Ovis aries: one gene and its partner. The protein of the gene in region 2 purifies or fractionates together with the protein of the main gene of each other region. This does not show direct contact. Links are inferred from orthologs where the notes say so. Each region holds a gene or a part of one and is shown on either strand. Other genes may lie near its edges.

What was found.
Region 1: the proteins of DUSP9 (region 2) and MAPK3 purify together in Homo sapiens (affinity purification with mass spectrometry; 4 studies listed by BioGRID and IntAct, with this or other methods). This does not show direct contact. The link is inferred for Ovis aries from reciprocal best matches to the Homo sapiens genes DUSP9 and MAPK3.

The regions. Positions count from the first base shown.
Region 1 is NC_056077.1:26,691,709-26,696,273, reverse strand, and holds the start of MAPK3 (mitogen-activated protein kinase 3), read right to left. Parts: upstream 3,051-4,565; 5' UTR 3,029-3,050; coding exon 2,856-3,028; intron 1,829-2,855; coding exon 1,646-1,828; intron 1-1,645.
Region 2 is NC_056080.1:80,631,000-80,635,570, reverse strand, and holds the start of DUSP9 (dual specificity protein phosphatase 9), read left to right. Parts: upstream 1-1,386; 5' UTR 1,387-1,534; intron 1,535-4,571. UniProt on the Homo sapiens protein: Inactivates MAP kinases. Has a specificity for the ERK family.

The sequences.
Region 1 (4,565 bases), on a different chromosome or scaffold from region 2:
CAGCTGGTGACCCTGAGCAAAGCGTCGCAGTTCTGTAGCCTCAGTCTCCCTATTGAGAAAATGGGGATAATAAACTGGGAAGCAGGAGAACGTCCCAGCTAAGAGCAGTAACTCTGGAGTTCACCTGCCACTGTCAATCATTCCTGCACTGGTCATTCATTCACTTTAGGAACTCAAGCCCTGTCTGCGCCTCTCTTCCTCATCTGTAAAGGGGAAAAAAAATCCTTTTTAGAGAGTGGTGGTAAAGATTAGTTGAGAGATGACCCAGGCAGTGCAGCCAGCTTGGTGCCTGGCACGTTGTAAATGTTCGGCAAATGTGAACTAGTATTGCTGTTATAAAAGACTGAGCCACATGGCTGTTGAGAAGGTTAAATGAGATTATGTATGAACACCATCTGGCAGGCAATAAATGTTTGCTTAAAAATAAATGCCTGCCTTATGGGGATGGTTTGTGCAAGACGAATGAGGAGAAACTTCCCAGCGGCACGCTCCTACTCCGGGGGCTTGGCCCTACACCCGAAGACAGAGGAGTAAATGTCCTTTTATACTCTAAGATAAAAAAAGAATTAAACATAAACAAACAAATAAACGTCATGTGGGTTGTTTCTGGAAGACTCAGTTATGGCTGTCTTTCAGAGTCAGCCTCAAAAGGGCCTTCCGAGAACACCTGGACCAACCCTGCTATTTTAAAGATGAAGAGGCCCGGCATGCTGCAGTGACTTGGTTAAGGTCACACGACAAGCTGAGGGTGAGTGTGGAAGTTTCCTGCCCACAGTTTGTGGTGGGGGCTGCAAACAGTGCAGTACAGATCACCACTCTTGGGGGAAGGACTGGGATGGTGGGGGTGGGTGGGGTAGGGGAGAGGTGATGAGTGTAAAAGCTCCTAACAGAGCCAGGCAGGAAGTGGACCCACAAACTAGGAAAGCAATGTGTGTGTGTGGGTCGGGGGGGCCACAAAGGCAGGTCTGTTCCTCCCTGGGCAAGGTACGAGTCCACAGGTGACTGGGGTGGGACTCTGAGCAGGAAGTCCCAGAGAGGGGACAGGTTCTTGTCTGGGGGAGGGGAAGAGGCAGCCACAGAAGCACTTGATTTTATTTCAGTTTTCTGAGCCTCAGTTTCCTCATCTTTGAAATGGAGCTGCTGAGACCCATCTCCTAGGGCAGTTGGGAGTTAGAATAGGAAATGTCAAAGCACTCGGCTTGAGCTGCACCAGACTCACAGTAGGCCCTCAAAACAGGGCAGTGTTCTTCCCGCCTGCCTTCCTGCCAGTCTGAGGACCCAGAGAAACAAGAACTGCCATCAGTTAAACAGAAGAGCTGACTGTGGGCAGAGGCTGGATCTCCTCACAGAATTGCCGATGTCAGAGGACAAAGCTTCCACAGGGCTCATCTTGCCCAGCCCCCTACGAAGCCAAGATCGAGAGAACAGACTTGCCCAAGGCCACACTGCCTGGCCGCAGCAGGCCAGGATTCATCTGAGGCCTCTCTGCCTTCTTACACTGTGGCCTCTTGACCGCTGGAAAGTTTCCTTTACTGGGTTTGTTTGGAGGGAGGTTGGGAAGAAGGGAAGAGAAAACAAGCCCCTGTTCTCCCAGCCCGGCTCTGAGGCTGGGCCTGGCCAGCCGTCTGGCCCAGGTGAAGGATACACATCCCTCATGGCTTCCAGGGTGGGTGCTCGCAGAATGTCTCGGATGCCAATGACATTCTCATGGCGGAAGCGCAGCAGAATCTGAATCTCTCGCAACGTGCGCTGGCAGTAGGTCTGATGCTCAAAGGGGCTGATCTTCTTGATGGCCACTCGAGTCTTGCGCACGTGGTCGTAAGCTGAGCTGAGAGGGCCAGAGAGATGTTGGTGTCCAGGCCCGGTGGCCCCACCCAGGCCTTGGCAGGGCGGGGAGGGAGCAGGAGAGGGCTCTGGCCAGTCATAAACAATGCTAGTTCCTTCCTGCTGTGAAGGCCTGGGATCTCCAGGGAGAAAGCTGGGGACCAGCCAGCCAGCCCTTCGGTGACTTCACAAACAGAGGAAGAGACTGACCGCTCACTGACTTCCCCTCTCCTCAACCCTTTCCATTCGAGCTGCCCTGACCCCTCATCCTCCCCTTCCCACGATGGGCTCTCTCAAGCCAAGACGGGTCCAGGGGGTGGGAGATGTGGAGGACTGGACAATGAGGCAAATACAGTGAGAAGGAGGGAGTCGGAGGAGGGACTGGAGAGAAGGGAGAGGCAGGGCCGGGGCGGGTGTCAGGGGGAGGTTCCTGGGCAGCAGAGCTATGTCCAGCTGAACAAAGGCCCAGAGCACCCAGTGCGGATAGGAGAACTCACAGACCCCTCCTAAAAGTTGCAGGAAGGTGTTCCTGGACCCCTCATGGCTCACTGGGTCCCTGGCCCCAGGCCCAAAGCCCCACCCCACCCCACCCAGCCCTGAGCTTTGCTCTTTTTTCCCAAACTCCTTGGCAAGCCTCACTGGGGGGTGATCCAAGACATCCTCTCCCCAGTGAGGGGACCCTCTCTCCTTCTTCACTAAGGATATCACCTCCCCAAGAAGACTAATTCTCTTCTCCTCACCCCGTGATTATGGGGTCCCCAAGGTCCCCAGAGCTCCCCCACATACACTCTGATGCCCTACCCTTCATTATTGAATAGTCAGTTCAAAGCTCCCAAACCTCCTCTCCTGAGACCTTACGCAGTGACCCCCTCCCCCAGAAAGCACTCAAAGGCCCTCCGCCTGGGACGCTCCCCAGCCTCCTGAAGCCCCGGCTTCTTCAGGATGCTCAGAGTCCGCAAGGCCCAGAGAGCTCTCAGCACCCCTCTCCGCCCCCTCCCCAGAGACGCCCCCTCCCCCAGAACGCCCCTCACCTGACCATGCCGTACGCGCCCTCGCCGATGTACTGCAGCTGCGTGTAGCGCGGGCCCACGTCGAACGGCTGCCCCTTTACTATCTCCACCTCCCCCGGGACCCCCGGGCCGACCCCATCAGTTCCCCGGGGCTCCCCGCCCCCGCCCCCCTGAGCCGCCGCCGCCGCCGCCATCTCCACTCCTCCCCTCCCGCCCGCCCGCCTCCCCCCGGCGGCCCCGCCCGAGGCCCCGCCCCTTCCCGCCCGCCCTCTCACCCGCGGAGCCGCGCGCGCCAGGCCCCGCCCCCGTCCGCCCCCGCGGCGTCACGTGACTCTCCCCGCCGCGCGCGCGCCGTTTTCCCGCTGCTGGGGCTGTGGTCCCTGGCACCTGTCGGCCTCGTCTGCTCCAGTCAACGTAGAAGCTCCCCAGGGCAGTCTCGAGACTGTCCAGACCCTCCCCCCCCACCCCCGCCACCGAATGCTGACCGGTAGGGCGGCCCGGTGACCTCACCCAGAGCCACCTAGCAAATGAGTGCTGGAGCTGGGACCCAGACCGGGCCACGTGGCCCCGCTGTGCCCACTCGGCCCGAGGAGTAGCCCGGGGCTCGAGGTGGAACCTCCTGGAGCCAGGCCCGATGCCGAGTGATATGATGCTTATTTCATAGTAGCCGTGACAGGTGGCTTCCTCACACATGGGGCCTCTTTCACAGATGTGGAAACTGAAGGTGACTGGGCAAGGTAACTTGATTGCTGGAAAGCCCAGGCATCTTGACTCCCTGCCTAATGGTTTTCGAATGGAGACCTGTCAAAGTGGGCTAGGGACCGGACCTCAGCAACCTGGCAGTGCCTGTATCCTGAGGACAGATAATCCCAGCCTACCTTTACATGGAGGCATAGGGAAGAGGTGAGGGCTGCGTGGACTGGGTTTGGTGAAAAATACACTCTCAGGCTTTACTCAGAAACAGCAGGATAGCTAACATTTTTGTTGTCCTTGGATTTGACAAAAATTGGAACCGAGATCATCATCTTTTGCTCCTGTGCTAGACTTCATAGTTTACACAGCATTTGGTCCACTTTAATTTCTTCATTAGAACCACCCCACAGTGTAGGTGTCATCTGGTTTTCTGAGCTGGATGAGCAGAGGGCCATGTCTGTCTTGTTCATTGCTGTAGCCCCCACCCACCCCCATCCCTACAGTCAAATGTAGACACTCAAAAATTTTGGAATAGGTGAATCAAAGTTTTACAGAATGGGAAATCTGAGAGTTGAGGAGCTGAGACTAACATGTATCTTCTGACACACAGGCAGAAGTTCTTTTTAATTGCATTCTGTCTCCCAGACTGTTAAACTGAAGAGACCATCCAATCCATCTCCACTTCACAGTGAAGATGTGAGCTGGGAGCTTCACAAAACACATCTCCTAGGCTTCAGGAAGTAATCACGTTGTTTTTGTCTTCCTTGGAAGCTGGGAGTATGTCCTTGTATGCACTAAAGATCAAGAGACAAAATGGAACAGAAATTATGATTCTGAAATTGCTCATAATTAGATCTATGGTCAGGCATTCTAATTCAGATTAGTAACACTGAGAGTTGCTAGTTCCCAGGAACCCACAAGTCAGTGAAGGTTCAAGATGTGCTAATTAGATCAATGGGTTTTTTTGTTGGTGGTGTTATTCATTTGATAAGCTATTGACTGGCACTGTGTGCAAAGCTCTGAGCTAGGAACTAGGGC
Region 2 (4,571 bases):
TATTTTGCCCCTTGACAGACCAAAATGGTCCTATTGCTGAACGGCATGCCTTTTAGCACAGGCTGCTATCTTAGCAAAGGGCCCTCTGACTCCAGGACAGCTGGCAGCATGGATGGCACAGAAGCATGGGGCAGAGTGGCAGGACCCACCCAAACCACCACCGGTTTCGTTTGCCCACCTGCGTGCCATCGTCTTGGCAGTTTGATTCCACGCCAGCCCCTGGGGCCTTGCTGCTGAATGGGAGGTGAACGATCAGCCCGGCCCACAGATGCACCTGCCAGCAAGGGTAGCCCCGAAAGGCCCAGCCGCTCAAGAGGGAAGGGTGGTAAGGGCAAGCACGTGCTGAGGGCCGAAGGAGGCCAAAGGGCGGGCTGGGCCTGCCAGGCTGGTGGCATCTGGACCCTGCCCCAGCTCCCACACCCTGGAGAGAGACTGCTGCAAAGCTGGTGAGGGCCCTGGGAGATGGTGAGGTCTGCTCCATCCCCAAACATGCAGCCTCTGTCCTCTCTTTCCCAAAGGTGATGACTCAGGGGAATTCAGGCTACCGCTGGCATCCCAGCCCTCCCTGCGTCCCCCTCCACTCTGGCCCTGTCACCACACAGCGGCGTGACCCCCGGGAAACCACTGCCTCAGTTTCCCTACCTATAGCAGGGGAACCGTCTCCTCCAACTCCCAGATGGGTGTAAAAACCAAAGGAGGCCCGTTATGGGGGGCGGACCCTGGCCCGAGGGCCAGAGGAAAGCACCCCAGGCCTGCAGACAGCACCTCCTCCCTGACCCACCCCCACCGTCCTGGCCGCACCCCTTCCAGGCACTCAAGCCCCAAAGCTCCAGGAGCCAGAATCTGATACGGGAGGATGGCAGAAGACAGGGGTCGGAGGACCGCGGGTTGGGCGCTTCGGATGCTCTCACCCGGACCTTACAGCTTAGCCCCTGGGACATCAGGAGGTGGCCCCGGGGGCCAAGCTGTGCCTGGTCCTCGATGGCCGCAGGAGTGCCAGGGCGGACTGTTCCAGGCAGCCCAGCCCAGGCCCGACCGAGGTCAGGACCTCCCACCCAACTCTGGCGGCCCAGGCTCGGAGACCCCGCGGCGAGGCGGCTGGGAGCCGGGGCTGCAGGGGCATCCCCCCGCCCCCGCCGAGAGGGGCCGCCGAGGGCAGAGCGGGCTGCGGGCGGCAGGTGGGAGGCAGGCGGGCAGGGGAGGTGGGAGCAGACGCCAAGCAGGCCGCGGCCCCTCCCCGCTCCCTCCTCGCGCGCCTCCGCCGGCGACATTGCCCCTCCTGGGCAGGGGGCGGAGAAGACGGCGGCGGGAGGGGAGGAGGCGGCGGCGGCGGAGGCGGGATTTGGAGTTTCCCTCCGCAGCGGCGGCGGCGGCGGCGGCGGCGGCAGCGGCCCCTCGGCTCCAGGCGAGGCCGCCGCCCGAGGCTCCGGTGGCGCGCGGCGGCCGCGGCGGTAGCGCTTCCCGCCGGCCGGGCTTTCGGAAACTTCCCGGCCGCGACGCGCGGAGCCGGCGCAGGAAGCCGAGCGGAACGGAGGTGAGCGGGGCACGCGGCGCCCGGGCACCCACCCCACCCCCACCCCGCCTGGCCGCCCCCCCGACGTGTGTGCGCCTCCGCCCTGCGCCCCCAAAGTCTCGCCAGCGCGCACCCCGCCAGGCCGACGCACGCGCCCCTGGGAGACCCACTCAGTGCGCCCGCCCGTGCACTCCGTGTCCATGGCCACGCACACCCCCTGACACTTACACGCGCGTGCACAAACCGTGCACCGCGGACCCAGGGCCCTGCAGTGCACGCCCCGGCAGCCGCTAAGTCACCATCGACTACTGTCCCCAACTCAGGCCAGCACCCATCCCAGACGCTGCCACGCCTCAGTACACACCCAGGCGCGCGAGAGCGTGCGCGCGCGCGTTCACACACCCCACACACACACACACACACAGACGCACACACACACATAGATACCCAACACATCCTTGGGATATCTGCACTAACACAGCTCCCCTCGCCGGCCTGCACCATCTCCAACTCCCCATATGCTCATCACAGACACCCCACCCACGTTCCCAGCCCAGAGACGCTGACATCCACCCATCCCTGGACGAAGCCCCAACAGGAACCCTCACCCAGAGGCCGACGCTGCACTCCTGAAGCCCAGCTGGCTCCCCAGGCCTGCACCTCGTACACCCCCAATATGTGTGCACACCTGCAGGATTCTGGCTCTTGGACACCCTGGCCCGCACCCATGGCACATAGCCCTGCACGTCCTCTAACACATTTCAGTCCCTCCCTCCAACACCTGGCACACGGGTTCTGGAGGCTGCAGCATTTGGTGGCATCTCTGCCAGGCGCCACTGGCTCGCCTTTGCAGCAGTGGTTCACCACCCTGAGGCCCCCCAGGTGGCTCCCTAAACAGGCCCTGGGTCTCCCCAGAGACTGACTTGGCCTGGTCCCTAAGAGATAAGGAAGGCACTGGGGGTGCAAGGTACTGTACTTAGATGGGGGAGGGCAAGGGAGAGGCAGGCAATTGAGATGGAAGCCACCCAGCTGCGGCCAAAGGGGCCCCAGGTGTTGGCAAGCACATAGTAGGTGGCTTTCCTGGAGGCAGGAATCGGAGTGCCTGTGTGTGTGTGTGTGTGTCCGCCTGCCAGTGTGGTGGGGGGCGGGTGGGGGGAGGGTAGGAACCACGTGCACACGTGTGCTTCTGTGTGTCTGGGTGAGTGACCTGCTGAGGGAGAAAGCCACCCCCCGGGCTCCCTGGTGCAACAATTGGTTTCATTCATTCATGCCTTCTTTGTTCCCGAGCATTTCTTCCATGAGCGCCGCGTGCCAGGCCCTTCCCTGGGGGGCTGGGGCCAGCTCAGGGCAGGGTACACAACCGCTTCTGCCATGGAGGAACTCCCAGTCCCGCCAGGAGGCCGACCCGGCAAAAGCCATCCCCGGCGGAAAGTAGATGTGGAGGAAAAGACACCGGATTTGCCCGGAGCGCTGTGTCTGGGAGTTCTAACCGGGCCGGACGGCCCAATTGCCGCCACCAGGCCGGCGGGGACCCGAGTGTTTGGGGGTGGAGGCGGGCTTGTGGCGAGCAGGCGGGGCGCCGCTCTCGGGAGGCTCCCGGGCCCCAGGGGCGCATGGGCAGCGCGCTAGAGGCCTATGGGCAGCGGCGTTTCCGCGGCCTCCGAGGGGCACTGCTTGGGCTGGGCGGAGGCCAGGGGCGCCCGGCAGGAGAAGGGGGCGGGCGGCGGGCGCAGCGCCCACCCTACGGGAAGTGCGCGGCCGAGCTCTGCCCGCTTGAGAGGGCCTGGGGAGGCCACTGCGCGCCTGGAGCGCGCGCGCCTGGGAAGTGGGTGCGGGGCCCAGTGTCGGAGCCCCCACCTCAGCCGGCGCTGCGGGGGGCCTGGCGAGGGTCGGGGGAGGGGGGCTTGGTGGCACTCAGCCCTGCACTGCGGAGGTGGCAACAGGTTTCAGGATATCTTCCTGCTTCTGGCGCAGCGGGAGCTGCTGGCGCTGGGCAGTGAGCACTTTGGTGATTGAACGCCCCCCCCCCCCCCCCCCGCAAAGCTCACTCTCAGCTGACCAGCAGAGATCTGGGCAAGGGGCAGACCCCCACGACCCCCGCCCAGGGGCAGAATTTGCCTCCCTGGCCTGATGCTGGTTCCCTCCCCCAGAGAGCCCTCTCCAGAAAGCAGGCCTTGGCACGGCAGGGCGACCCTCTCTCCAACCCCCGAGACCACAGCACCGGACAGGAGCAGGGTGTGTCTCTCTTGGGCAGCCACCCCCACTCTGGCGACTTGGCCAAGCCAGACACACCAGGCTGGCACATCCCGGAACCCCTGGGTGCCTTCAACCCCAGCCCACTCCGGGGTCCTGCCCACAGCTGCAGCAGGCCTGGAGGGAGCCCCCCAGGGTTGGTGGCTTCCCACCTCTGCCTGTGGGAACTGGGATGTGAGAGAAATGAAATGCACACACAAACCCCCGCCCCCCTCCACTCGGCTCCAGCCTAGCTGGTAACCTCAGGGAACTGAGGTCTGGAGCACAGAGGAGGGAGACAGAAACCTGGGGGAAGGGGAGTGAAGAAGGAATAGAATCAGGACAGGCTGCAGAGGAGGCAGCCCAGGCTAAGGGCGAGGGGACCCAGCCCAGCTGCCCACGGCCCCTGGAGCCAGGTGATGGGACTCATCCCAGAGACCAAGACATGGGGGAGTGTGGCTGGAGACAAGTCTCAGCCTGGTGGCCCACTGGGCTGGGAAGGGAGGCAGGGTAGGAAGGGGCAACCAGAGGCCCCTATGAGGCAACCTGGCTATCTGTGACCTGCCCTCTCCCCAGCAATACCTCTTGCTTTTTCCCATCCTATTTTATGTTCTGATCAGTGACCTTCCAGCAGTTTTGCACCTTTCACTCCTTAGTTACCCCTCTTATGGTACCCATCCTGTGTGCATAGCTTTACCTCTGTTTACTTAGTTCCTTGGGGTAGATTCCCAGTGTGGGGTTCTTCCCAGCTCTGGATATATATTACCAAGTTAATTTCCCAAAGAGTCACACCAGCATACCTCTAGCAATCAGCAACAGAGCAACA